Linked DNA regions of Macaca fascicularis. The protein of the gene in region 1 interacts with the protein of each later gene in a biochemical or structural test. Links are inferred from orthologs where the notes say so. Each region holds a gene or a part of one and is shown in the gene's direction. Other genes may lie near its edges.

The links.
Region 2: the proteins of CUL4B (region 1) and RBX1 form a complex in vitro, tested with the Homo sapiens proteins (4 studies listed by BioGRID, with this or other methods). The link is inferred for Macaca fascicularis from reciprocal best matches to the Homo sapiens genes CUL4B and RBX1.
Region 3: the proteins of CUL4B (region 1) and DTL form a complex in vitro, tested with the Homo sapiens proteins (2 studies listed by BioGRID). The link is inferred for Macaca fascicularis from reciprocal best matches to the Homo sapiens genes CUL4B and DTL.
Region 4: the proteins of CUL4B (region 1) and AMBRA1 form a complex in vitro, tested with the Homo sapiens proteins (2 studies listed by BioGRID, with this or other methods). The link is inferred for Macaca fascicularis from reciprocal best matches to the Homo sapiens genes CUL4B and AMBRA1.

What each region holds. Positions count from the first base shown.
Region 1 is NC_088395.1:126,802,440-126,809,186, reverse strand, and holds part of CUL4B (cullin-4B), read left to right. Parts: intron 1-91; coding exon 92-264; intron 265-2,426; coding exon 2,427-2,579; intron 2,580-3,854; coding exon of another isoform or gene 3,855-3,896; exon of another isoform or gene 3,897-3,912; intron 3,913-5,847; coding exon 5,848-5,943; 3' UTR 5,944-6,747.
Region 2 is NC_088384.1:10,677,013-10,684,898, reverse strand, and holds the start of RBX1 (E3 ubiquitin-protein ligase RBX1), read left to right. Parts: upstream 1-2,760; 5' UTR 2,761-2,785; coding exon 2,786-2,863; intron 2,864-4,982; coding exon 4,983-5,061; intron 5,062-7,886. UniProt on the Homo sapiens protein: E3 ubiquitin ligase component of multiple cullin-RING-based E3 ubiquitin-protein ligase (CRLs) complexes which mediate the ubiquitination and subsequent proteasomal degradation of target proteins, including proteins involved in cell cycle progression, signal transduction, transcription and transcription-coupled nucleotide excision repair.
Region 3 is NC_088375.1:69,849,463-69,856,890, forward strand, and holds part of DTL (denticleless protein homolog), read left to right. Parts: intron 1-2,525; coding exon 2,526-2,651; intron 2,652-4,201; coding exon 4,202-4,300; intron 4,301-7,010; coding exon 7,011-7,072; intron 7,073-7,156; coding exon 7,157-7,277; intron 7,278-7,428. UniProt on the Homo sapiens protein: Substrate-specific adapter of a DCX (DDB1-CUL4-X-box) E3 ubiquitin-protein ligase complex required for cell cycle control, DNA damage response and translesion DNA synthesis.
Region 4 is NC_088388.1:19,303,859-19,311,286, forward strand, and holds part of AMBRA1 (activating molecule in BECN1-regulated autophagy protein 1), read left to right. Parts: intron 1-503; coding exon 504-687; intron 688-2,041; coding exon 2,042-2,214; intron 2,215-3,764; coding exon 3,765-3,831; intron 3,832-4,406; coding exon 4,407-5,860; intron 5,861-7,428. UniProt on the Homo sapiens protein: Substrate-recognition component of a DCX (DDB1-CUL4-X-box) E3 ubiquitin-protein ligase complex involved in cell cycle control and autophagy.

The sequences.
Region 1 (6,747 bases):
ACTAGGGGGATGGAGTGGAAACTAGATTGAGGTAGAATGTGGTAGTTGTTCATGCTGGTAACAAATAACTAAACCTCTCTTTCTTCTTCAGAGGATGGAGAGTTAAGGAGAACACTGCAGTCATTAGCCTGTGGCAAAGCTAGAGTTCTGGCAAAAAATCCAAAGGGCAAAGATATTGAAGATGGTGACAAGTTCATTTGTAATGATGATTTCAAACACAAACTTTTCAGGATAAAGATCAATCAAATCCAGATGAAAGAAACGGTATTTCTTTCACTTTCTCCTAGTCCTAACACACTGGAATTATACATGTTAATAATTAAAATATATAAAGATTTTATACCTGTAATACTGCCAATACCATTAACATTTTCTCTGCTATGTCCAGCTAAATATATTTCCGTATTTGATTTTGGGTTTTTGGGAGAGTGCTTGTACAGGATTGGGTTGATACTCAACATGGTTTTATATCCTACTTTGTTTATTTAATATTCAATCTTTAGAATTTTTCCATGCCATTAAATAGCTTCAAAAAATGGCAAATGGCAGTGTAATATTTTTACATGGCTCTTACAGTTTATTCAACCACTGTTCATTTTGGGGCAATTAAATTCATGACTTTTTAGTATTATAAATAAAATTGCAAGAAACCTCTTTGAACCTAAATTTTAATCTCTTTGATATATGATAAATGTGTGGAAGTAGATTTTTTTGGGTTAAAGGGTATGAACATTTTAGGAGTCTTAGTACATAATGTCATATTGTGTTCCAGAAAGACTGAACCAGTTTATACTCTGTCCAGCAGCATATGAGAGCCTGTCTTACTATGTCCACCAGCACTAAAGATTATATTTTCTTTTTCCAACTTGCTTGGTGAAAAATCTGAATGATTTATTCACTATTTGTTTGATTAACAGTGAAGGTGGGCCAGGCACGGTGGTTCACGCCTGTAATGCCAGCACCTTGGGAGGCCGAGGCGGGTGGATCACCTGAGGTCAGGAGTTCAAGACCAGCTTGGCCGACGTGGTGAAACCCTGTCTCTACTAAAAATATAAAAATTAGCTGGGCGTGGTAGTGCGTGCTTGTAGTCCCAGCTACTTGGGAGACTGAGGCATGAGAATCACCTGAACCCAGGATGTGGAGGTTGCAGTGAGCTGAGATTGCGCCACTGCACTGCAGCCTGGGTGACAGAGTGAGACTCTGTCTAAAAAAAAGAAAAAAACAAAAACAGTGAAGGTGAATATTTTGTTTGTTTTTGCCATTTGAATTTGTAAGAGACTTCCAACTGCAGCATCCTGAAACTGATGGTTTCAGTTCCAATAAGGTTTAATGCAATATTTGAAAAAAAAAATTTTTTTTTTTTTTTTTTGATGTGGAGTCTCACTCTGTCACCCAGGCTGGAGTCAGTGGCGCGATCTTGACTCACTGCAACCTCTGCCTTCTGGGTTCAAGTGGTTTTCCTGCCTCAGCCTCCTGAGTAGCTGGGACTACAGGCGTGCACCACCACGCCCAGCTAATTTTTGTATTTTAAGTAAAGATGAGTTTTCACCAGATTGGCCAGGCTAGTCTCGAACTGCTGACCTCACGATCCACCCACGTCGGCCTCCCAAAGTGCTGGGATTACATGTGTGAGCCACTGCGCTCAGCGGAGAAAAGTTTTAATGTAGGACAGCAACCAGTATCTTCAAACAAGTTCCTGTCATTTTCACATACACATCAAAGGATATTTTCTTAAAGGATTACCATGTCCTTACTTTTAAAATGTTTATGCTGTACCAGGAAGAAACTGCTGCAAAAAGCCCAGACTTTTTTTGGTTTAGTTACGAAAGATGAACATTTTTGCTTTAGCATCAAGATTGGTAAACCGCCTCCTAAATACCTACATGTCTATAAGTCTTGAAGGATTGTAAGCATTAATGGCATGCATGTCTGATTTATATATTACAAAATAAAAATTAATTTTCAAAGAGTTTGACTCTTAACTAGTTTGCTTAGCCAGTTAATACCATGCCTTGAGTCAGGTCAGACAGAGTCCATCACTTTATAGACAAGCTATTGTCATAGAGAAATCTGGTTAACAATCCATTGAAACTGATACACATATTTAGAAGATATCAAAGACAGAGTAAAAAAACAAAATGTTAAATTCCACATCAGCTATCTCTACTTCTAGAAAAGCAATTCAAAGATGATGTTTTTCTATTAACTAATATTAGCATTACTTCATTGGTATAGGGCAATATAATCAGAACAGAAAGGAGTTATGTTTGTAGGCTTTTTCTCTGTCAGCGTCTATATAAGACCCCAATTAGAAAATTCAGTACCTTTAAAGCAATAACAATGCCATGTCCCTAAAATGCACAATTTATGTAAATAGTCAGGTTTTGCTTCTGGTATAATTCTTAGGTTTAAAACTTTTTTGTTAGGTTGAAGAACAAGCAAGCACTACAGAAAGAGTATTTCAAGACAGACAATATCAAATTGATGCTGCAATTGTTCGAATTATGAAGATGAGAAAGACACTTAGCCACAATCTCCTTGTTTCAGAAGTGTACAACCAGTTGAAATTTCCAGTTAAGGTAGGTACTTCTGTGTTTTCCTATTGAGCGTGTTATAAATAAAAGAAAGTAGATTAGATTTTCAGATACAAATCTTGCAAACATAAAGCGTCATGACCATTTAGAGAGAGAAAAGTTTTAATTTTCCATTTTGATGCATATGATTTCCAAAAAAACTTTGTTGGCATATGTGGGCAGCAGTGACAAAAGGGGAAAATAACAGAAAATCCTGGATACCTGAAAGTTTAACTGCTAAGTGAGTCTTTGAAATTTTCAAGTTTATTCACTATATTTCTTTTGAACTTCTTGGTTGGTTTATTTACTTCTTTTCCTCTTGAAATACCATGGTATTTGTTGAAATACCATGGTATTTGACAGATTCGGTTATTGTGGATTGAGTTAAATCTCCTGTTTAGTTAGCTTATGTAAGAGATCATCTGTTAAAGACCATGCAGATAACTAGTCATCATTAAGCATCTTTTTGAAAAGTGTAGTGATAGTTCTGGTAAACTGAAATTGGTCATTAAATGGAAATGTTCCACTGTGAGTGCCCAATAATAAAGTCACTTAATGTGATGTCGTACTGGCCTATTTTCCAAGTTTTAGGAGGTAGATAGCCAAACCCTTGGATGATAAACATTGATAGAGTTTGAATAGACTGCTAGCTATTAGGGTTCTTATGAGCTTTAGACTTTCATAAATCACTTCACTTTGCTGATCTTGTTTCCTTTTTTGTAAAATTGAGATAATAGTGCTTACCTTGTAGGATTATTGTGAGGTTTAAATGAGATCATGAATGTAAAAATCTTAGCACTGGATCTGGTACATAATAAGCACTCTGTAGCTCTTAGTTCTAATAAGGTAAGCATTTTCTTTTCTCCAAACCTAATATTGCACTCCTTATTACCATACTCTTACCCTCATGCTCTGCCTAACAATCATTTCAGCTGAAGCCAGAGAGATCACTGATGCTGGGGAAATTAGGGGATTGCTGTAGTTAATATTGTGCTGATATTCTAGGTCTTTCACTGTAATTAAGAGAAAGTCATTTGATTTCCAAACCTTGGGATTTCTGGATAAAATTTTCACTGCTGCATCAGACTGTCTCCCCTCTTTTCCCCTCTTGAACAAGTGGTCATTTTACTTATACTGAAAAACTTTCTATTAGCAAACAAGATTATATTATATTTACAGGCTAGATACATAAGATATATAGTGGAATTTTGTCATCCAGGAGCTTAGAATGCAATCATGAAGATAAAGCTACAAGCTTTCTTGATTACTTTTAAATCACAGGATGCAGAAATCCAAGTCAGATGCATTAAACCAGAAGTATGAAGATCTAAATTATGAGGTACTTCATTTATCAAGCCATTTCATGTAGTGTTTTTTTTTTTTTTTCTTTTTTTTCTTTTTTTTTTTTTTTGAGATGGAGTCTCACTCTGTCATCCAGGCTGGATTGCAGTGGCGTGATCTCGGCTCACTGCAACCTCCGCCTCCCGGGTTCAAGCAATTCTTCTGCCTCAGCCTGTCAAGTAGCTGGGACTACAGGTGCGCACGACCACGCCTGGCTAATTTTTGTATTTTCAGTAGAGACAGGGTTTCACCATATTGGCGAGACTGGTCTCAAACTCCTGACCTCATGATCCGCCCACCTCAGCCTCCCAGAGTGCTGGGATTACAGGCATGAGCCACTGCACCTGGCCAGTATTCTTTTAAATAGTGATTTTTTTTTTTTTTTTTTTTTTTTTTGAGATGGAGTCTTCTTGCTCTGTCACCCAGGTTGGAGTGCAGTGGTGCAATCTCAGCTCACTACAACCTCCACCTCCCAGGTTCAAGCAATTCTCCTGCCTCAGCCTCCCTAGTAGCTAAGACTACAGGCGCCCGCCACCGCACCTGGCTAATTTTTGTATTTTTAGTACAGATGGGGTTTTGCCATGTTAGCCAGTCTGGTCTTGAACTCCTGACCTCAGGTGATCCACCCGTCTTAGCCTCCCAAAGTGCTGGGATTACAGGCATGAGCCACCGCACCTGGTCTAAATAGTGATTTCGTCAATACATTTTAAATCTTAATTTATAAAAATTAAGCCAACTAACTCTTGCCCAAAGTAAAGGTGTAATTCACAAACTATCTTGACAAAACTATATAGTCCTCATGTGAAGTTACAATAAATGTAGTCTTTTGTATTTAACCACGCAAAGGGTAGCTGCTTCTGGCATGACCTCTTTAAAATAGAAAAGTAATAGAAAGTATTGCGTAACAATATGACAAGGGTGTGACAGTTTAATGTATGTATAGTATATAGTACAGGTTGAACACCTTTAATGAGAAAATCCAAAATCTGAAATGCTCTAAAATTGGAAACTTTTTGAATGCCAACATGATGCCACAGGTGGAAAATTCCACACTTTACGTCATTTGACAGGTTGCAGTCAAAACTTTGTTTCATGCACAAAAGGTATAAAATTATCTTCAGGCTATGTAAGGTATGTATGAAACATAGATGAATTTTGTGTTTAGACTTGGGTCCCATCCCCATGATATCTCACTATGTATATGCAAATATTCCAAAATGAAAAAATCAGGACCAGGCAGGGTAGCTCATACCTGTGAGTACTGGGATTCCAGTACTTTGGGAGGCTGAGGCTGGGGGGAATCACTCAAGAACAAGAGTTTAAGGTAAGCCTGGGCAACATAGCAAGACCCTGTATTTAAAAAAAATTAAGAACTATAAAAGAAAATTAAAAATCGAAAACATTTCTGGTGTTAAAAAATCTTCAACATAGCTGAGCACGGTGGCTCATACCTGTAATCCCAGCACTTTGGGAGGCCGAGGCAGGTGGATCACCTGAGGTCAGGAGTTTGAGACCAACCTGGCCAATACGGTGACACCCCGTCTCTACGAAAAATACAAAAATTAGCCAGGCGTGGTAGCTTGTGTCTGTAGTCCCAGCTACTTGGGAGGCTGAGGCAGAAGAATCGCTTGAACCCAGGAGGTGGAGGTTGCAGTGAGCCGAGGTGGTGGCACTGCACTCCAGGCTGGGTGACAGAGTGAGACTCCGTCTCAAAAAAAAAAAAAAAAGAATCTTCAACGTGTATAAAACATTTTTAAACCTGGTTTATTTTCGTGATATTTTTCTCTAAAAAAGAGATTTAAATAAATACAAATTTTAAAAAAGGAGATTAAATTCGTGAGCCAAAACTGTTGTGTTTTTAATGGGGTGTTAACTAAATGGGCTTAAGCCAATGATAATGAACTTTACATTGAAAATTTGCCTTCTCTTACAGCCTGCTGATCTTAAGAAGAGAATAGAATCTTTAATTGACCGGGACTACATGGAAAGAGATAAAGAAAATCCAAACCAGTACAACTATATTGCATAGAATGTTGCAGCATTTGGTGTCATATGCAGTAGCCAGTGGATAAACTAACCTGTTGATTCAATATTATTTGACTCCTTTTTTACTACCGATGACCAAATGAAGCAGTGTAATTAATGGAAATAGTTGAGTGGACTTTTTCTCAGTGGTTAACATGCCCATTTTAAAGAGTAATACTTACCTTTAAGAAGAATGTTGTTGAACTCTTTGCATGTTATTTAGTATGATGTGCAGAAAACACTTAAGAACGTACCTGGTCTTCATGAATTCCTCTTTGGAACTGGGAAAGAGATCCCTGTGGCTATTAAAAATGGGGGAGGGTTCTTATATACCATTAATTATGAAGCAAAAGGTTTATTTGCTTAAAATGTCATTTAAAGATACCTAAACTGCATGCAAACTTTATTTACTGTACAGAGTTCTGGATGTATTTATCAAATAGAAAAACCACCCTTGACTTGGTTGTTCACCCGTTTTGTGATTTCCCTTGAAAAGAGAAATGAATTGTCATAGCTATTGATATTTTACTAGGTAATGTTCTGTTACACTGAAAGGGATGTTTTTTAAAAAAAAATTATTTGGAAACAAGTTTTCAAGTAGGGGGACAGTTGCTTACATAATATCTTGTATATTCACATCCTAAAAATTTTCGTTTATGAGTATGGGATGTGTATATATGGCTTAGCCCCAAGTTAACTGTGCTGATTAACAAGTACTTATAAAAATAGCTAAAATAGAAAATTAATGATCAGTTGTACTAGAGGAACATCATAGAAGAGAAAAATCCAACTCTTTCTTTATATTAAA
Region 2 (7,886 bases), on another chromosome or scaffold:
CCATCTCAGCTCACTACAACCTCCATGTACAGGGCTCAGGTAATCCTCCCCCCTCAGCCTCCAGAGTAGCTGGGACTACAGGCATGTGCCACCTTGCCTAGCTAATTTTTGTATTTTTTTGTAGAGACGACGTTTCGCCATGTTGGCCAGGCTGGTCTGGACAACTCCTGGACTCAAGTGATCAGCCTGCCTTGGCCTCCCAAAGTGCTGGGATTACAGGCCTGAGCCACCCTGCCTGGCAGATACCTGAAACTTTTTATTTATTTATTTATTTTTGAGATAGACTCTCACTTTGTTGCCCAGGCTGAAGTGCAGTGGCACTATCTCGGCTCACTGGAACCTCCACCTCCTGGGTTCAATCCATTCTCCTGCCTCAGCCTCCCCAGTAGCTGGGACTACAGGTGCCTGCCACCACACCCGGCTCATTTTTGTTTTTCTACTTTTAGTAGAGATGGGCTTTCACCATGTTGGTCAGGCTGGTCTCTTAACTCCTGACCTCCGGTGATCCGCCTGCCTTGGCCTCCCAAAGTGCTGGGATTACAGGCGCGAGACACCTTAACTGGCCCTGAGACTTCCTGATGTATTTATTTGTTGACTTGTGTCTTATTCCCTAACTAGGGGGTTGACTGTTATTATGTCTCTTCTGTTTAAAATAGAACCTGGTAAATATCAATACTTTTGTTGAATGATGGATAAGTATGTCCTCAATACCTTAATTTACAATGGGTTTCTAGTATTCCTGTCAGGGACTGTAGGCGCACAATAAATTAACAACAGAAATTTTAACATAAAGTCATTACAACTTGGGCTAAAAAAAACTTTGTAGGGTTCTTGTAGCCCTTTAAGGTCTGTCTCACACAATTTTTCTTTCCAAGTCTGGATAAAGCTGTGGTGGTGTTTTCCCGGATCTGTTGTGCCTGTTTATGACTAACAAATAAACAAATGGCAATTCTTTCTCTTTTATTATTATTTTTTTGGGAACGGAGTCTCACTCTGTCACCCAAGCTGGAGTACAGTGGCTCGATCTCAGCTCACTGTCACCTCCGCCTCCCGGGTTCAAGAGATTCTCCTGCCTCAGCCTCCCGAGTAGCTGGGACTACAGGCGCGTGCCACCACGCCCAGCTAATTTTTGTATTTTTAGTAGAGATGCAGTTTCGCCATGTTGGCCAGGCTGGTCTCGAACTTCCGACCTCAGGTGATCGACCCGCCTCGGCCTTCCAAAATGCTGGGATTACAGGCGTGAGCCACCGCGCCTGGCCAATTCTTTCTCTTTAGCAATAGTGTCAGCACACTCCATTACTCTCCAGTTATCTTTTAAGAGAAAATAAAAGGCTTCAAATCACCTGTACCAGATCTAAGAGTGCTCTGGCGGAGTCATACCTCTGCAAGGTTAGAGATGTCAAAGGGAGTCCTGGTCTAGCGAGAAATGGGAGAGTGACACAAAGTACAGGTGCTTGGGTCGGGCGCGGTGGCGCACTCCTGTGATCCTAGCACTTTGGGAGGTCGAAGTGGGAGGATCGCTTGAGCCGAGGAGTTCGAGACCAGCCTGGGAAACAGAGTGAGACCTTGTCTCTATTTAAAACAAAAAAAAATCGGCTCTAGCCTGTAATTCCAGCACTTTGGGAGGCCGAGGCAGGCGGATCACCTGAGGTCAGGAGTTCGAGACCGGCCTGGCCAACATGGTAAAAACCCGTTTCTACTAAAAATACAAAAGAGCCGGGCGTGGTGGCGGACACCTGTAATCCCAGCTACTAGGGAGGCTGAGGCAGGAGAATCGCTTGGACCCGGGAGGTGGAGGTTGCAGTGAGCCGAAATCGCGCCAGTGCACTCCAGCCTGGGCAGCAAGAGCGAAACTCCGTCTCAGAAAAACACCCCAAAAAGTCAGAATGCTTCACAAAAATTAAAGAAATACAGCGACTGCAGATGGGTCGGTTTCACTATAGCACAAGTAGCGGAAAGAGGACACAGACTGGGGAGAAATCACCCTACACAAGATGACAACTGAGGAATGAGGAGTGGGGACTGACACACGCCACGGTGAAACCGCGCACCACGACCAAAGGCGGTCCTAGGACTGCGACTAAGCGGGCGCAGAGGCCACCCTCCAGGCTTGGCGGGGGGATGAGGGCAGCACTGGGGGCCTGCTCAGTCTGGCCTTAGGGAGGACCTTCGGGGCTCTCCTCTCTCCCCATCGATCCCTGAGCAGTTCCCGAACAGAAATCGGAGACCAGACGGTGCCTGGGCCCCAGCCCTCCCACGCGGACTGCGCCTTGGGCCTGGCTCGGAGGTGGGTCAGAGTCTGCGAAAGACCAGCGAGGGCTCTCAGGTTTCGGGGCAGGCGGCGGGCGCCCACCCCGGCTAGCAATGGGAGTCGCGCGGCGACCGGGCGAGCCCGGTAGGCAGGACAGGACTGCGGCGCAGGTCCGACTCAGGCGGAGGAAGCAGCCGCCGCCCCAGCTGATGGAGTGCGGCCGGGGGCTTCCCAGAGGAGGCGGCGACCTCGAGCCCTTTCGAACGTTTCTACCAGGCTAGCTCACGTAGCCTCGGCCCCGCCCGGCCCCGCCCCACCCACTCCGGCCACCGCCCCCTCCCCGGCCGACACTTCGCGGGTGGGGCGACCTGCGATAGCCCCTTTAAGAGGCGTGGTCACGTGCTCCGCCCCCACCTCCCCCACGCGCGCCAGTAAGGGGTGGGGTGCGGGAGGAGGTGCCGGGGAGGCTGGGGGAACGAGGTGTGCGCTGCTGCGCAGGCGCGGTGGTCGGACGACAGACCGTGTGTTTCCAAAATGGCGGCAGCGATGGATGTGGATACCCCGAGCGGCACCAACAGCGGCGCGGGCAAGAAGCGCTTTGAAGTGAAAAAGGTTGGGTCTCGCCAGCGCCTTCCTCAGGGAAGCTAGAGAGGCGCGGATCTGGCTGGCAGGCCCGAGGATGGTCGAGGCGCGGAGTAAAGGGTTTCATTTTAGGGCGTTCCTGGGACCGGGTACCACGAAAGGAAGTCGGGGGGCGGGCCTTAGAGTTGATCGGCGTGACGGCGGCCCACTGTCAGGGGAAGTGTTGGTTTCGATGTGAGGCTGAGGGGCCAATCACAGAGCTGCTTGTTGAGATACGCGGGGTTGCGACTTGGCGGCGGGAGCCAAGCGCCTGAGCTGTCACTGGAGTGGTTGAGAGGTGGGGGAAGGTAGGGTGGGGTGGGGTGGGGTGGGGTGGGGTGGGGTGGGGTGGGTGGAATGGGGAGTCAGAGCGACTGCGGCGGTGGAGGATGGGGCAGTGCGGCGAAAGCCTGGAACCTGAGGTCCTACCGCATTGGAGGCCTCTGAGGAGCCCCGCTAGTGATCTTGCTCCGCCCCTTTTTGAAGCTTGCTTGGGGTCCTCTCACTTGAAGGGATCAGACTTGTTCCTCGCTGAACCGAGGCCTCCATTAACCCCATCTCTGGGCCTCACACCGCCGAGTTAGAGTCTGGAGTGTAATGCTTGGGTGTTCTGAGACGTCTGTTGGCTTTTCCCACAACCACCCCACTCTTGGATTCTCTGTCACGTTCAGAATCTCCCCCTTCCGAAATAATAATAAAAAGCACGGTGGAACTTGTTAAGAAAATCCGAGCCCAAATCCTGTGGCATTTCGGGAGGGTTGAGTAGTAGTTGCGAATGACTTGGTAAGAGGGGAAAGCAAAAATGGAACGTGTCTTTTGCATGAAATGCATTTTAGTGGTTTGCCACAGTTTGGGAGAAAAGTGTCGATTCCCACCTAACATGAAAACTATTCGAAATGGAGATTCTGAAATAGGGAAGATATTCCTGGAACATCTGGCTAAACACTGACAATATCCCCCCCTCCTAGTGCTTTTTGGTGTCTCATTGTGGCCACTGCTGCTCAGTTACAGCCAGCCATATTGAAGAATAATAGAAGTAGGGGCTTTTCCTCCAAGTTGAAGCTGTGATGTGAAAAGTGGTGAAGAAGTTACTAGGCACTGAGACTGGGGTTTGAAAGCGATGAAGGTTTGGGAGTACTTGTAATTGAGGAAACCAGAGTTGAATGAATGAAATGCCACTTTTAGTTAAACTCTTACTGGAATTATTATCTTAATAGAAGAGTCTAAACATATAAAAGTTCAGAACATCAGTTTATTTTATGGTAAGAATCGAACAAAATTCTAGTGAATTGTAGAATTTGTTATGAAGTAATCTAAGATTTAAGTGATGACCTTGTTCTGTGTACTGACATGGGCAGTTAATTATCCAGCTTATCCCACGATTACCCGTTTTATGATCCAGTCATCATCTTAGTTCATTCTGTTCCCTAGCTTTCACTTCATTGCTCATGCTTCCAAAGCTGCCTGGAAGAGCAGATACTTATTCAGATTTTGAGCGCTTCTGCAACTGCCACCAAAACCTGCACAGAAATTCAAGTTTGTGCTTTTTTTTTTTTTTTTTTTTTAGATGGAGTCTCACTCCATCGCCCAGGCTGGAGTGCAGTGGCACGATCTCGGCTCACTGCAACCTCTGTCCCCCAGATTCAAGCGATTCTCCTGCCTTAGCTTCCCAAATAGCTGGCATTATAGACACCCGCCACCAAGCCTGGCTAATTTTTGTATTTGTAGTAAAGACGGGGTTTCGCCATATTGGCCAGGCTGGTCTCGAACTCCTGACTTCAGGTGATCCACCCGCCTCAGCCTTCCAAAGTGCTAGGATTATGGGCGTGAGCCACTGCGTCCGGCCAGACTAAATTGTTTTAAACTACAGGAAACAAATTAAAAGATGACATTAATTTATGTGTTCATATACTCAGTCTTTTGGAGAATAGGAGAATGTATGTGTTGTCTACTGTTGTCTTTGGTATAATAAGATTAACATAATATCCAAAAACTTTTGTTTGGTGGTTCCCTGTGGCCAGAGATCATAACTACAACTGCAGCCTGAAGTCCTAAAAACTGTGTGTGTGTTATAAGGAGAATGCATTGTTCCCTCTTTTTGTCTTTGCAGTGGAATGCAGTAGCCCTCTGGGCCTGGGATATTGTGGTTGATAACTGTGCCATCTGCAGGAACCACATTATGGATCTTTGTAAGTAATTGGAGGAGGATGGGAGGAAGTTGAGAAGGTTGCAGAGCTTGTGGCTATCTTGATGTGACCGATTTTCTTCTTCACAAGCAGATATCAAGCCTACTCTGAGCACTCGGTCTTCTGTATCTAGTCTTTTGGTGTGTTTGAAATAGAGTAGTTTTTTTATGATGTCCTGGAGGCATACCCAGCTTTCAGAATAAATCTACTCAATCTAAAGATGGCAGGGACACATTTAGAATTAATTGTGGACAACAGGCACTGTTGATTCTTCCTGCATATCTCCCATCTTGTACCTAGACTCAAAGGTAGAAATACTGAAAGGAGGAAAATAAACTTTGAGCTAAAATATTCTATCTGAGGCGAGGCGTGGTGGCTCATGCTTGTAATCCCAGCACTTTGGGAGGCCAAGGCGGGCAACATGGTGAAACCCCGACTCTATTAAAAATGCAAAAATACTCTATTAAAAATGCAGAAATTAGCCGGGCGTGGTGGTGCATGCCTGTAAACCCAGCACTTTGGGAGGCTGAGGCGGGTGGATTATTTGAGGCCAGGAGTTCAAGACCAGCCTGACCAGCATGGTGAAACCCCGTCTCTACCAAAAATACAAAAATTACCTGGGCGTGGTGGTGCATGTCTGTAATCCCAGCTACTTGAGAGGCTGAGGCAGGACAGCTGTTTGAACCTGGTAGGTGGAGGTGGCAGTAAGCTGAGATCACACCACTGCACTACAACCTGGGCGACAGAGCAAGACTCACAGTCTTTTTTTGAGACTCAGGGTCTCAAGAAAAAAAAAAAAAAAAGTTTTTGAGACTCAGAGTCTCAAAAAAAAAAAAAATGTCTATCTGAGCTAATTTTTGCTGGTCATTGTTTACAAAGGAAAGAAGCCTAAGGAGTAAGTATTTTGTATGTTAGGCCCAAACATAATAAAAAGGAAATCATTGCCAACATCTAAATAGGTAATTGATTGCACTAAAGAAATTTCATTTAAATCTCCACATATTTTATTACATGTAGTGGTCAGCACATAGTGATCCGATTATAGTCTTTGATGGACTGATTTCCTGTCCTTATAGTAGAAGGAACAAGAATGTTGATCACACCAGGAACAGTAGAGGTTACTTTTTCATCCGGGAACTAAAATGATTTGTTACTGAGGCCAGAAATGGAGGAAAGAAACTTCAAGTTTCTAGAATTGGAATTATAGGAACTTACTTTTCAGATCACTCACCTGCCTTTACAACTTCATCTTGAGTCACTCCTGCTCACTCTGTTAGTTTACCTGGACACTTTTTTTTTTTTAAACTAACTATGGTGGCCAAAGCAGCCATGGCCCCTGGCCAGTTTTCCTTTTTTTTTTTTTTTCTTATTTTGAGATGTAGTCGCCCAGGCTGGAGTGCAGTGGCGTGATCTCAGCTCACTGCAACCTCTGCCCCCTGGTTTCAAGCAATTCTCCTGCCTCAGCCTCCTCAATAGCTGGGATTACAGGCGCCTGCCACCACGCCCAGCTAATTTTTGTATTTTTAGTAGAGACAGGGCTTCACTATGTTGGCCAGGCTGGTCTCAAACACCTGACCTCAGGTGATCTGCCCACCTCGGCCTCCCAAAGTGCTGGGATTAAAAGCATGAGCCACCGCTCCCGGCCTGCTTTTTCATTCTTAAGTGTCCATGCTCTTTTTCAGAGCCCTTACATAGCCTATTCTTTCTCACCTAGAATATTCTTCACCTGTTCTCTTCCTTGGTTTTGTCTAACCCAGCACTGTCCAATCTGAATGTAAGCCACAAATACAAACACATACATAATTTTAAATTTTCTTTTTCCTCTTTTTTTGTTTTTTCAGAGACAGGATCTCGCTTTGTTGCCCAGGCTGGTCTCGAACTGGCTTCAAGTGATCCTCCCACTTTGGCCTTCCAAAATATATAGGCGTGAGCCACTGTGGCTGGCCTGAAATTTTCTAGTACCCACATTCATAAAGTAAAAAGAAAATAAAAAGGTGAAATTAATCTATTTTATTTAACCTTTTATAGCCAAAATATTTTTATTTCAACATGTAATTAATGTGAAAAAAGGAGATATTTTACATTCTGTCTTTGTACCATCTTTGAAATTCAGTGTGTATTTTACACTTACAACACATCTGGATTCAGACTAGCCACATTTCAAGTGCTCAATAGTCACATGTGGTTAATAACTACTTTATTGTGCAATGTAACACTAACCCAGAGTTGAGCTTTAGATCTTATCTTAAACTTGCTCAGATGTTTTCAACTTGGAAAGCACGAATCAAATATTTTCTGTTGGAAAGCAGTCATGGCATATACTGGTCATGTATTGCCCTTGGCTTCTTTGAGCTTTTGACACTGTTTATCTCTTCACACTGCAGCCAAGGGAGATCAGCAGCTACCATGATGTTTAATATAGATGACGTGAGCCCATCACAGAAAAACATATGCATGGTTTCAAATGTGTTTGGGTGGGGTCTTTGATTACATGCTTGCCAGTTTCTGGGCCTTGCATTTTCACAAGGAGTTATACCCAGAGAAAATTTTACTTTATTGGGGCTCTATTTTGAAAATAGTTAATGATTTTTAATGATCTTATATACCACCCTGATTTTTTTTTTCTCTATACTTAAGTCAGTGTATATGTGTCTCTGGATATGAGAGAATGTACTTCTTAGAAGGACCACAGAAGACAAAGGCGATCCATATTCTGTCTTCTCTTAGAGTGAAATGCTTGAGACATCACATTAGGCTTTCAGTGGAATAGCTGTTTTGTTTCATAACATACTTCGAATGTCAGATGAAGTAGGATATTGAAATCTTAC
Region 3 (7,428 bases), on another chromosome or scaffold:
ATACAGACACATACCTATGATTAAGTTTAATTAGGTACAGTAAGAGATTAACAATAACTAATAATAACAGAACAATTATAACGATATTCTATAATAAAAGTTATGTGAAGGTGGCCTCTCGGAATATATCATTGTACTATACTTGCTCTTCTCGTGATGATGTGAGATGATATAATACCTACAACATGATGAGATGAAGTGAGATGAATGACGTAGGCAGGCACTGTGATATAACATTAGGCTACTACTGACCTTCCAACTATGTAACAGACAAAGCAGCGAAGTGACTAAAGAGCAGGTAACATATATGGCACGGATACTCTGGACACAGATGATTCATAACCCTGGACAGGTCAGAGTAGGACAGTGTGAAATTTTCTTGCTACTCAAAATGGCACACAATTTAAAACTTATGAATTGTTTATTTCCGGAATTTTCAATGCAATAGTTTCAGACTATCGTTGACCATAGGCAACTGAAACCACAAAAAGCGAAACCACAGATGGGGATGACTACTGTATCTGGAAATTTAGTCTCTGAAAACTCTCATGTTCTTGTATACTACTTGGAATATGTGCATGTAACTCTAGGGGCTTAAGTTGTACAATGAGGAAATAATAGCTTTTTCCAAATGTGTTGTGGAGGTAAGCATTACAGTTTTATGTTCATAACACAATAAGGATCCAAAAGTAGCTTAGGGTGGTTCATCAGTGAAGTGTGTATTGCAGGGATTGCATAAGTAGAGGAGTAGGCAAGGACCAATCACTCACCATTCATTGGTGTTTGGATGTTAATTGTAGGCAGAGATGCAGAGTTAAAGTCATTGTTTAATTGTAAAAAATTGCAGGTTTTTTGGAGTGTATCATCTTCATTTCAACCAAGTTGTTCAAAAGTCCCTTTTGAGTTTGCATTTTGCAGTTGATTTTTTTTAATTCCAAAACATGTATATTTACATAACCTTTGAACAGAGGCTTTTGTTGTTTCTACACACTTATTCTGTAGGTTAATACTTGTGAACTCAACGTAACTATTGCATTTTTTTTTTGGAGACGGAGTGTTGCTCTGTCGCCCAGGCTGGAGTGCAGTGGCGCAGTCTCGACTCACTGCAAGCTCTGCCTCCCGGGTTCACGCCATTCTCCTGCCTCAGCCTCCTGAGTAACTGGGACTACAGGCGCCTGCCACCATGCCTGGCTAATTTTTTTTGTTTTGTTTTTGTTTTTGTTTTTATTTTTAGTAGAGACGGGGTTTCACGGATTAGCCAGGATGGTCTTGATCTCCTAACCTCGTGATCCTCCCACCTCGGCCTCCCAAAGTGCTGGGATTACAGGCATGAGCCAACGCGCCCAGCCTATTGCATTCTTTTAGTGGTCTTTAACAGCTCCTTTACAATGATATCTGATGTTGAAATTATGACATGATGGCCCCAGAACTAATTATTAAATTTGGATTAAATTTTTTGGTGCCCTTCTATTGATTCCTTCAGGTTATGTCTATGAGCATCCAAATGTAGATTTGTCTGAGGTTATATCAAGCTAGGATGTATTCTCCACATAGTACTTTTGATGAAAAGTGAGAATTCAGAGTACCCTAAAATGTGAGTTTGTTATGCTTTCAATAGATTGTAAACTCAGTGATTCCTCCAATGCTTATTGAACATTTGGTTTTCAGTAATTACTTGTTGAATGAATGTTTCTTTTATATGTTTAAAATGTCTTGACCACAAATGAGTATGATAAAAACAAATCTCTGAAGATATCTTACTATGTAGGACCATAGTGCACGTTAGATCTCTGACCCAAGCAGAATAAACTTTTCTTCCACCCTGAGTTTCCTGTTCTCTATTCTAAATTCAGTGAAAATTTACCCATCTTTCAAGACCTCCTGTAAAGACTGCCTGACCCACTGCCACTAGCCAGGGCTAACTAAATGTTTACTAGGGGTAGGTACATAACGCTTCACTTTACAATTTCTCTAATATCATTTAAGATACTATAAGCGTTGCTATTAACATTTTAGATTCCTACAATTTCAGCAGTAAAGGAAAAAGAAAGTAAATTTGGTGAATATGTTACTGGCTATAGTAGTTGCATTGATATATATTATTTTCTTTGGCTCTTTGACCACTGGATTTTGTATGATGTTCCAGCATAAGAATTTAATAGAAAGGGATAACAGTTTTAATGGAATGCTTTTGTGGTTGTCTCTTTGGTAGGAGAAGGAGGAAGATCTTTCTTAATATGCAAAGGCCTCTTATTTCTTCTAATCTCAATGTGCTAGTGAGAGTCTTCATTTTAGATAGTAAGCCCAAAGCTATACCTCCCCAGAAGTTGGAAGTGCTTTTTCATTTTTTCCTTAGGACTCTTTTAAGGAAATACCAGAAACAGTGTCTTCCATAGATATTAATAGTAAGTGGATCTATGTTAATATCTAAAGTTTCTTAAGAACAAATATATACCTCTGGATTTGTTAAAAATGCTGAAATGTGATGCTCTATTGGAATTCTATAAGGAATTGTCTTGTTTTAGGATGGTCTTCACAATACCCTCTACAATCCCTTCTGACTGGTTATCAATGCAGTGGTAATGATGAACACACTTCTTATGGAGAAACAGGAGTCCCGGTTCCTCCTTTTGGATGTACCTTCTCTTCTGGTAAGAGAATTACTCTCTAGGCAAGGCTTGGACAGAAATGATCTATTTCACATTTACAGGGCAAATATACTTCAAAAAGTAAACTAGGTAGATGTTAGAGTTTTTGTAAAAACTGTTGTCTTTTGATTTATAAAATAGACTTTTCTTAATCTCTATGCATCATTAGCATAACTATATTTCTTCTAAAGCATAGGATTATTATAGCACCATTTTTAAAAAACCAATATAAGGAAATGGTGGCAAAGGTTCAGCTACAATGAAAACTGTTTTACCCAGTAGATACATACCCTTTGATCTGGTTGAATGTATCTTTCTGTGACTCACTGGGGAATATATGAACAGAAATAGAAGTACTTTGGCCAAGCTGAGTAGCTCACGCCTGAAATCCCAGCACTTTAGGAGGCCAAGGCGGGTCTGGGTGCAGTGGCTCACACTTGTAATCCCAGAACTTTGGGAGGCCAAGGCGGGTAGATCACTTGAGGTCAGGAGTTCGAGGCCAGCCTGGCCAACATGGTAAAACCCCATCTCTACTAAAATTGCAAAAAATTAGCTGGGCGTAGTGGCGCATGCCTGTAATCTCAGCTACCTGGGAGGCTGAGACAAGAGAATCACTTGAACCTGAGAGGCAGAGGTTGCTGTGAGCCAAGATTGTGCCATTGCACTCCAGCCTGGGTGACAGAGTGAGACTTCATCTCCAAAAAAAGAAAAAAGAAAGAAATGGAAGTACTTGTCTCCACCCATAATAGTTTTGAGAGGAGAGAAAAAGTTGTGAAAAGGAAATTTAAAACTAATAGACTCCTTACAGAAATTAGCCGAGCGTGGTGGTGCACGCCTGTAGTCCCGGCTACTGGGGAGGCTGAGGCAAGAGAATCGCTTGAACCTGGGAGTCGGAGGTTGCAGTGAGCCAAGATCACGCCACTGCATTCCAGCCTAGGTGACAGAGGGAGACTGCGTCTCAAAAACAAAAACTAATAGACTATTACGTAGCAATGATTGTGGTAAAAATACGTAAATAAAAATATGATTAAAAAAAAAAAACAAAACTAATAGACTCAGCCTGCTGGCGGCCTATATCATCATATGCTTTTGTTTGCCATTGGCCAGTACCACTCCTGTTTTGTTTAAGTACAACCCTCGATTTAGCCCTTCTCTAAATAAGAGATTATGTGAAGAAAATTTTGGTGGTTTTGAGGAAACTTAAAAAGTTTTGTGGCTGGGCGCAGTGGCTTATGCCTGTAATCCCAGCACTTTGGCAGGCTGAGGCAGGTGGATCACTTGAGGTTAGGTATTCAAAACCAGCCTGACTAACATGGTGAAACCCCATCTCTGGTAAAAATACAAAATTAGCTGGGTGTGGTGGTGCATGCCTGTAATCCCAGCTACTTGGGAGGCTGAGGCAGGAGAATCACTTGCACCCAGGAGGTGGAGGTTGCAGTGAGCCAAATCGTGCCATTGCAGTCCAGCCTGGGCGACAGAGCCAGACTCCGTCTAAAAAAAAAAAAAAATTTTGTGTTACTCTTCATATATTTTATTCTTTATTTCTGCTTTAGCTCCCAATATGGAACACGTACTAGCAGTTGCCAATGAAGAAGGCTTTGTTCGATTGTATAACACTGAATCACAAACTTTCAGAAAGAAGTGCTTCAAAGGTAAGTCTAGGTCTACAATTTTTGTTTTAACATTTAAAAAACTTTACAGATCCTCAAGTGTATTATTATTTGAACACATTCTGTTTTAGTCTGTCTTGTGTTGCTACAAAGGAATAACTGAGACTGGGTAGTTTATAAAGAAAAAAGGTTTATTTGGTGCATGATTCTGCTGGCTAGAAGATTAGACATCTGGTGAAGGCCTCAGTCTGCCCCAACTCATGGCAGAAAGCAAAGAGGAGCCCATGAATACAGAGGTTACATGGCAAGAGAAAGGGGTAGTACCAAGCTCTTTTTTAAACAATCAGCTTTCCAGGGAACTAATAGAGTAAGAAGTCACTCATCTGTTCACCTCTTAGGGAGGGCATTAATCTGTTCATGAGGGATACACCCCCATGACCCAAATGCCTTCCATTAAGTCCCACCTCCAACTTTCAGGATTGAATTGTAACATGAGATTTGGGAAGGGACAAACATCTGAAGTATATATAACACATTCCTGATTATGTTAACTTCTGATGAAGTCTTTTTAGGGACCAGGTTAGATGTGAATGGTGGACTACCTATCTGTCAATAACTGTTAACTATGACAATGCCTTTACTCAAAGTTAAGAAAAATACATTTTAGGATTAAAAACAATTCCTTCAAAAAGTTGAATCTTTAACACTTAATGTGGTTAGAGAAGTGTTGCTTTAAAATATTTATATTGATCGAACATTTTTCAGGTATAAAGCAAAGTTCTTCTAACCTTAAGAAGCTGATAATTTGGAACCTATAAGTCAAGTGTTGAAATAAATAAAACAAAGGCTATAAATTATACAGAAGTAGAAAGAAAACACACTGGTGTCAAAGAGAAAACTCTCATGTAGTAAAGAAGGCTAGGAAAATTTATGAAGAATGGGGCATTTGAGTTGGACTATGGTATTTAGACCGGTGGAAATGGAAGGGGGTACTCCAGGTGAAGGGAAAAGCATTAGCAAAGGTCTAGAGATGGAAAAGCATAGGATATAATAAAATAGGAAGTGACCAATTTGGTTGGAATAAGATATCGAAAACAGTGAGAGATGAGGCTTGCAACCAAGATAAAGACTAAAGAATGCAAAATGTTGAATGTCAAACTAAAGTATTTTACATTCCATTCAGAGAGCATCATGAAGTTCTTTTTATTTTTGTTTTTTGTTTGTTTGTTTGTTTGTTTTTGGTAGAGATGGGGTTTTACCATGTTAGCCAGGCTGGTTAACTCCTGGCCTCAAGTGATCTGCCTGCCTCGGCCTCCCAAAGTGCTGGGATTACAGGTGTGAGCCACTGTGCCCAGCCAGTATCATGAAGATTTTTGAACTGGAATATGTTTCAGAAAGATTCCATTTTAGAGAATATATAACTAGTGAACTCATGGAAAGGAATTTGACATCAGATGTTAGTTCTCATGTGGTAATTAAGGGAATGTGTAATTTCTATGAGTCCACAAATTATCTTTGCTCATGCCAAAGAGTGCTGACTACTGATTTTTTATGTGTGCATCTTTGTTTTTATTATTTTAAGTTCCAGAGTACATGTGCAGGACACGCAGGTTTGTTACGTAGGTAAATGTGTGCCGTGGTGGTTTGCTACACATATCAACCCATCACCTAGGTATTAAGCCCAGCATGCATTAGCTTTTTTTTTTTTTTGAGACAGAGTCTTGCTCTGTCACCCAGGCTGGAGTGCAGTGGTGCAATCTCGGCTCACTGCAAGCTCCGCCTCCCGGGTTCATGCCATTCTCCTGCCTCAGCCTCCCGAGTAGCTGGGACTACAGGTGCCTGCCACCACGCCCGGCTAATTTTTTGTATTTTTATTAGAGACGGGGTTTCACTGAGCTAGCCAGGATGGTCTCGATCTCCTGACCTCGTGATCCGCCCGCCTCGGACTCCCAAAGTGCTGGGATTACAGTCGTGAGCCACCGCACCCGGCTGCATTAGCTATTTTTCCTGATGTTCTCCCTCTCCGTGCTCCCCCTCAACAATCCCCAGTGTGTGTTGTTCCCCTCCCTGTGTCCATGTGTGCTCGTTGTCCATGTGTGCTCGTTGTTCAGCTCCCACTTATGAGTGAGAACATACAGTGTTTCGTTTTCTGTTCATGCATTAGTTTGCTGAGGATAATAACTTCCAGCTCCATCCATGTCCCTGCAAAAGACATGATATCATTCCTTTTTATGGCTGCATTGCATTCCATGGTGTATATGTACCAAATTTTCTTTATCTAGTCTATCATTGATGGGCATTTGGGTTGATTCCATGTCTTTGCTATTGTGAATAGTGCTGCAGTGAACATATGCATGCATGTATCTTTATAATAAAATGATTTATATTCTTTTGGGTATATACCCAGTAATGGGTTTGCTGGGTCAAATGGTATTTCTGGTTCTAGGTCTTTTGAGGAAGCGCCACACTGTCTTCCACAATGGTTGAATTAATTTATATTCCCACCAACAGTGTAAAACTATTCCTGTCTCTCTGCAGCCTTGCCAGCATCTGTTGTTTCTTGACTTTTTAAATAATTGCCATTCTGACTGGCGTGAGATGATATCTCACTGTGGTTTTGATTTGTATTTCTCTTAATGATCGACTACTGATCTTTTTACTACTACAGCTTTCCAGGCATTTAAACTTCTATTAATATGGCTACCACAGAATACAATTTAGACATTTCACATTTACCATTTTCTTTGTTTAGAATGGATGGCTCACTGGAATGCCGTCTTTGACCTGGCCTGGGTTCCTGGTGAACTTAAGCTTGTAAGTGACTTTATTTCATTAGGATCTGGGTAAATACTGATAAGGGATTGCTTTGTTAAATTGTGCTTACCTTATTTTTGAAAGGTTACAGCAGCAGGTGATCAAACAGCCAAATTTTGGGATGTGAAAGCTGGTGAGCTGATTGGAACGTGCAAAGGTCATCAATGCAGCCTCAAGTCAGTTGCCTTTTCTAAGTTTGAGAAAGGTAGGTTTGTGCTTATCCTCTTTCATCTCCTTAACCTTCTTTACAGTGGGGAGGTAAGAACCTGTAATTGTTTCTACCCTTTCCCCTATCAAAGTTACTACTTTACCTACCTAGATGATTAAGATTCTTTTTTTGGAGACAGTTTCATTCT
Region 4 (7,428 bases), on another chromosome or scaffold:
TTAACCTTAAGATTTGTGATAACAGTGCTTTCTGTATATTTGGCCTGGCTTGATCTTCCAAGTCAGTCCCTAAAGGCTCTCTGAAGTACTTTATGAACAGTGCTTTGGCCATATGTCAGAAAGGGAAAGAAAGTAGATGAGCAGTGCTAACCTGAAAAATCATGAGAACAAGCAAAGGAAACTGAGAGGATCAAAACTTGGAAAGTTTCTCAATAACAATCATTTGCCTGTGTGATACAGCTCACCAGTGGCATGATGGTTATTACAGTGGAAAAAAATATTTTCTGAATGTGGCATGTGTCATTTGGGGACAGCGTGGACAAGCCAAAAGCCTTTAAAGATCAGAATATTTCTGTTTGTAGATATACTGCCTAACGTACAAAGCTTAGGTTCTTTCGTGTTGGGATCGGCAGGTAGCATCACTATTCTGTGTTGTCCAAAGTTAATAAGGTTGGTTACCCTTCCACATGCTTCTGAATTAGTTCTACTCTTTGATTTTCTAGGACTCTCTTAGCCTCCACCCATGTGAATCATAATATCTATATTACGGAGGTGAAGACTGGCAAGTGTGTTCATTCCTTGATTGGACACCGCCGTACTCCGTGGTGTGTCACTTTTCATCCCACCATCTCAGGCCTTATTGCTTCCGGCTGCCTAGATGGGGAAGTTAGGATTTGGGATTTACACGTGAGTATTTCCTTAAGATACCCTTTTCTTTTGGTATTCTGTTTTTTTTTTGTTTTTTTTTTTTTTTTGAGATGGAGTCTCACTCTGTCGCCCAGGCTGGAGTACAGTGGCACGATCTCAGCTCACTACAACCTCCGCCTCCCAGGTTCAAGTGATAACTTCTGCCTCAGCCTCCCAAGTAGCTGGGATTACAGGCATGTGCCATCATGCCTGGCTAATTTTTATGTTTTTGGTAGAGACAGGGTTTCACTATGTTGGCCAGGCTGGTCTCAAACTCCTGACCTCAAGTGGTCCGCCTGCCTCAGCCTCCCAAAAGTACTGGGATTATAGGCGTGAGCCACCATGCCCAGCCTCTTTTGGTATTCTAAATACAGAGACTTGTTTACCATTGAGTTTTTAATTCTGGAAGAGCCTAACTGGGTTCTTAGGACTACATCTGAATATATTGTGGTAGACATTGCCCACTTAATTAACAGGAAGTCTAATTCCCTGTCTTCCATTCCTTTTTGTTTTTTTTTGCAATAGCTTAAGCATGCCCTGAGATTGTCTTCCATTCTAAGATGAACATCTGCTTTTACTTCCTTTGGCCCATTGTGACATAGTACAGGAGAATCTAAGATATGTTCAGGATGGATTTCTATTGTGTAAGGGCAAAGATTGTCCTGTACTCCGATCATGATCATCAAAGCAAGATCCTCTTTGTCCTAGTAACTGGCTAGCAGGTTGTCTTGCACCATGTTGTGCACCAAGCTTGAGTTTTTCTCAGGCTTTAGATATAGGAACTGTGGGCTGGGCGCGGTGACTCACGCCTGTAATTCTAGCACTTTGGGAGACCAAGGCAGGAGGATTGCTTGAGTTCAGGAGTTCGAGACCAGCCTGGGCAGGATATTATACCAAAAATATTATACACAAAATTATACAAAATTAGCCGAGCATGGTGCCATGTGCCTGTGGTCCCAGCTACTTGGGAGGCTGAGGTGCGAGGAATGCTTGAACCTAGGAGGCAGAGGTTGCAGTACGCTGAGATTGTGCCACTGCACTCCAGTCTGGGTAACAGAATGAAACCCCCTGTCAAAAAAAAAAAAAGAAAGAAAAAAAGAAGTAGGAACTGTGTATATATGCTTATTGCTTGTAGATTGTGAATAATTTGAAGAACTGAGCTGATTGTATAGTATTTGTCTGATAAATTAGTGGCACTGCCAGATCACTGATCTTCTACATCTTTTTACAAGGATGTATTTAAAGTAGTCACTAGATGTAGTCATTTTACCTTAAATGGACCTTTCTTGAAATTGACTTCCCAGTGTGCTGGTGGCTTGTAACCTGAGAATATCTGGAATTGGTTTGTTCACAGGGTGGCAGTGAAAGCTGGTTCACAGATAGCAACAATGCCATTGCCTCCCTGGCTTTCCACCCTACGGCTCAGCTCCTGCTGATTGCCACTGCCAATGAGATCCACTTCTGGGACTGGAGTCGACGGGAACCCTTTGCTGTGGTGAAGACAGCTAGTGAGATGGAACGGGTCCGGTGAGTGCGCTGCCCCATCAGCATTGTCTGGCACAGGACTGACATGATAGAGAACATTCTGCCGGCTGTCACTTTGGAAGACAGGTTGTTATCCCTGCTTAGGGGAAGTTGTCATCCTCACAGCTCCTCCTATGTTTTTTTTTTTTTTTGAGGCCGGGTCTCACTCTGTCACCCAGGGTGGAGTACAGTGGTGCAATCTCGTCTCACTGTGACCTCTACCTCCTGGATTCAAGCTATTCTCGTGCCTCAGCCTGCTAAGTAGCTGGGATTGCAGGCGCCCACCACCACACCCGGCTCATTATTTTGTATTTTTAGTAGACACAGGGTTTCACCATGTTGTCCAGGATGGTCTTGAACTCCTGGCCTCAAGTGATCTGCCCACCTCAGCCTCCCAAAGTGCTGTGATTATAGGCGTGAGCCACCGTGCCCACCCCTGCCCTTTTTTATTTTATTATTAAAGAGACAGGGTCTTGCTCTGTTACCCAGGCTGGAGTACAGTTGTGTAGCCATGACCTCATGGGCCCAAGTTACTGCAGCCTTGACCTCATGGGCCCAAGCAATCCTCCCACTTCAGTCTTGTGAGTGTCTGGGACTACAGGTGTGTGCAACCACTCTCAGCTAATTTTTAAATTTTTTTGTAGAGACGGGGGGGTCTCACTGTGTTGCTCAGGCTAGTCTTGAACTCCTGACCTTCAGTGATCCTCCTGCTTTGGCCTCCCAGAGTGTTGGGATTATAGGTGTGAGCCACTGCACCTGGCTGCCTCCTACTTTCTAAACAGCTGACTAATCAGCTGGGAGACACTCATTTTGTTCATTTCAGCTTTCCCTTATTGGCCTCCTCTTCTGAACTTTGGAGACCAAGATCATTAGACTCTCTTTTAGTTTCAAAGTTAACTGTGTTTTGGATAGTCCTTCTTTGGGAAAACCTGAAACAAGTTTGGGTGGTATTTTAGATACCTCGTTGGGTTGTCTTTGTATATCAAACTGGAAGATGGAGATGTAAGCATGTAATTGACATTTATTTAGTACTCAAGATCAAAACATATTGCTGCTATTAAAGATGATGCATTGTGTTTCTTTGGTCCTCTTGGATTTGCAGTCAAATACAGGCCAATTTTCTGGTTTCAGCTATGTCATTTAATGCTGGGTCTGTTCGTTGCCACCAAGATTCATGCTTCTTGCTGGTGTAGCTGCCATATGAGGGAAGAACTGATTCTGTGGCAGAGTATGAGAGCATTTTATGCTTTATGGTTAGGATGAGCTCTTGTATTTGAGCAAAGATGTGCTTAATGTAGCTGTTTCCGGGGATGGAAACCCTAGGTGTTTTTCATGTGAAATCGTTATTTTTGTGATACATATTCCTTTACTCTGGCAAGAAGTATTGAGTGTTGTTATTTTAATCTCTTTGAAAGTTTTGAAAGTCTTGAATGAAGTGGATACCTGAGTGATACCAGTTATCAGTAATGATTGCTATAAATTTGAACACAAGTTTTCTCTTCTCAGTTAACATAATCTCTCTATGCGTGTCTTTGTCTCTTCTGTGATTTCAGTCTGGTGAGATTTGATCCACTTGGACACTACTTACTCACAGCAATTGTTAACCCCTCTAATCAACAGGTAAGCTAGTCCAGCAGTTCCAATTCCAGCTAAACTGTGAGTTCTTTTCCTAACTAGTATTCCAATTCTGATTATATTGGATTTAAATTCTCAATACCCAAGTCTTTCTTTCCAGTCAAAATTTAAAGCTAGCTTCAGATTGTATATTCAGGGTTATAGTCATAATCTTGACAGGAGAGTCGATTCTAAAACTCTCCAGTGATCGCATCATTAGAAGTAACCCTTATCATCACTAGACAATGTTGGATAGCTTGTCACTCATGTGCCTCTGGCTGGTTGACAATTCGCTTCCCCTCACTGCTTCCATGTCATGGAGAGATGTCTTTTGTAAGACAATTGGTTTGTCAGCTGCACTCATTCAGATATGCTGCTGATTGGGAGTGGAAATTTTAATACCATGGGATTATTCTGAATCTGAGGCCAGTTGTCAGTGCTTCAGGGGTAGAGAGTTGTTTCCTACCTGTGAACATTGTTTTCCTTGGATGATTGTCAGTGGTTAGTTTTTCTTGATTTACTTGGAGGTACTACCTAACTGCCTTGCTCTACCCCCTGCCCCATGCTGGTCCACGTTGCAGGGTGATGACGAACCAGAGATCCCCATAGATGGAACAGAATTATCCCACTACCGTCAGCGTGCCCTCCTGCAATCACAGCCAGTTCGCCGGACACCTCTCCTCCACAATTTCCTGCACATGCTGTCCTCCCGCTCTTCTGGCATCCAGGTGGGAGAGCAAAGCACAGTGCAAGATTCTGCTACCCCCTCACCCCCACCGCCTCCCCCTCAGCCCTCCACGGAGCGCCCCAGGACTTCCGCTTACATCAGGCTCCGACAGCGGGTCAGTTACCCCACAGCTGAGTGCTGCCAGCACCTTGGGATCCTGTGCCTTTGCAGCCGCTGCTCTGGCACTCGAGTTCCTTCCCTCTTGCCACACCAGGACAGTGTCCCCCCTGCTTCTGCCAGAGCTACTACCCCTTCCTTTTCTTTTGTACAGACCGAGCCCTTCCATCCCCCGGAGCAGGCCTCGTCAACGCAGCAGGACCAGGGCCTCCTGAACCGGCCGTCTGCCTTCAGTACAGTCCAGAGCAGCACTGCCGGCAACACGCTCCGCAACCTCAGTCTGGGTCCTACCCGCCGCTCTTTGGGAGGGCCTCTGTCTAGCCACCCTTCTAGGTATCACCGAGAAATAGCTCCCGGGTTGACAGGATCTGAGTGGACCCGGACAGTACTCAGTCTGAACTCCCGCTCTGAGGCGGAATCCATGCCCCCGCCCAGGACCAGTGCCTCTTCAGTGAGTTTGCTGTCTGTGCTGAGACAGCAGGAAGGTGGCTCTCAGGCATCTGTGTACACTTCAGCCACAGAAGGGAGGGGTTTTCCAGCATCAGGGTTGGCAACTGAGTCAGATGGAGGGAATGGCTCCAGCCAAAATAACTCGGGCAGCATTCGCCATGAGCTTCAGTGTGACCTGAGACGCTTCTTTTTGGAGTATGACCGGCTTCAGGAGCTGGATCAGAGCCTGAGTGGGGAAGCTCCCCAGACCCAGCAGGCCCAGGAAATGCTCAACAATAACCTTGAATCTGAAAGGCCAGGCCCTTCCCACCAGCCCACCCCACACAGCAGTGAGAACAACTCCAACCTGTCCCGTGGCCACCTGAATCGCTGTCGTGCTTGCCACAATCTCCTGACCTTCAACAACGATACCCTGCGCTGGGAAAGAACCACACCTAACTACTCCTCTGGCGAGGCTAGCTCCTCCTGGCAGGTCCCCAGCTCCTTTGAGGGTGTGCCATCGAGTGGCAGCCAGTTACCACCTCTTGAGCGGACTGAGGGCCAAACGCCCAGCTCCAGCAGGCTGGAGTTGAGCAGCTCTGCTAGTCCGCAGGAGGAGAGGACTGTGGGGGTGGCCTTTAACCAGGAGACAGGCCACTGGGAAAGAATTTACACCCAGTCCAGCAGATCTGGAACTGTGTCACAGGAGGCCTTACATCAGGATATGCCTGAGGAAAGCTCTGAGGAGGATTCACTCAGGAGGTAAGCAGTTGCTTTCCTGTCTTCTCCTGCATCCCTTGCTTTTCTCCTTGTATCATTTCCTTCAGTCCTATAGATGTTGTGGCTGTATTTGGAGTGTCTGGGACCCACGCATCTGCTTCTGATCTCCCCATTGCATTTTCTTGGAAAATCTTGCTCTGGTGGCAGAGATAGGATAGGGCCTAGCAGTATGAGTCAGTTGGCTGTGCTAGCTCTATTTCTGGCTAAGCTCAAGGTTCTGGCTTTAGCCTTGAAAGGAGAGTGTAGATTAGGTTAGAGAGGCATGAGGAGATGGAATCATTGACTTTCTCTGCCCTGCTTTTTGACCTTCTTGAGATGTTGTATGTGCAGGACTACTTATTGTGAGACAAAACAATGTCCCATCGTGCCTAGGAATAAGTAAAAGAGAACCCTGCATGGTACAGATTAGTCTATTGATTCTTTGCTGATTGTGTTGCTTTGGACAAGCGAGTTCACTTCCTAATCTTTATCTTTTGGAACACTGCAGTTTGACAAAAGGAAAAGAAAAAAATATGTATATCTATATATATATGTATGTCAAGGAAAGTTCCAATTTTTTCAGAGATACTTGTTTTTGGACAGCCTATTAGTTGCTCAGTTGAGATTCTCTGAATGGACCTTCCAGATGGACATTCACCTTGGGGTGGAGAAGAAGAAGAATTCATGGAAGGAAGGACACTCCATACTCGGATTGGCATCCTAGCCAACTCTTTCATGGCAGAAACAGAGTGGGTGTAGTTGATTGCCCACCACATGTTCCATGAATGGCTATGTGCGCATCTATCTTGATTTATTAGGGACTTCTTTCTGTAATTTTGTAAAGGTCAAAGCTAGCATAATCACCAACTCCCAGAATATGCCTGTTGGATCCAAACAGCATATTGCGCTGCATTACATCCTCTGTCGAAGCAACTGAAATTTCTCTGACATAAGCTTCTAACAAGGGTGGGAATATGAATTATGCACATAATGTACTTGTTATTTTGGGAGGATGCTTTAGACAGTCACTCAGTCAATAAGTATTAGTTGAATGGTTACAAATTTTCTAGTACTGTGCTAGGCACTGTGGGAAATACAAAAGAAGTATAATACATGGTCTTTACCAACCTGAGTCTACAGTGTTATTGTGGAGGCAAGACAACAAAATTTTTCAAAAGTGTAGATGAGCAAATGCTTCATTGTGTGGTACTGAGATTGGATGTAGTCTCAGAGAAAGGGAAGTATCATCCAAGAAGGCTTTGCAAAATCAAGTCTTGAAAGATGGGTAGGATTTGGAGAGGGAAAGACCTTTTTATTTCAGGGAACCAGCACATGCCAGGGAGGAAAGGGTATAGTGCATGTAGGTTCTTAGGCATTTACTAAGGGCTTGGGGTGGGAAACAGAGGGAGACTTGACTGGATGTGAAAGATAAACAAAACAGAGAGGTTTGCTAACTCTGCTCATATACTTGAAACCAGTTCTGGATTAACGGCTCCTCAATTCCTGGTTTTGGAATATTGTGCCTTGATACTGGTCTTCATCAGGGGCCCGAGCCTCTCTTCTTCCTCTTT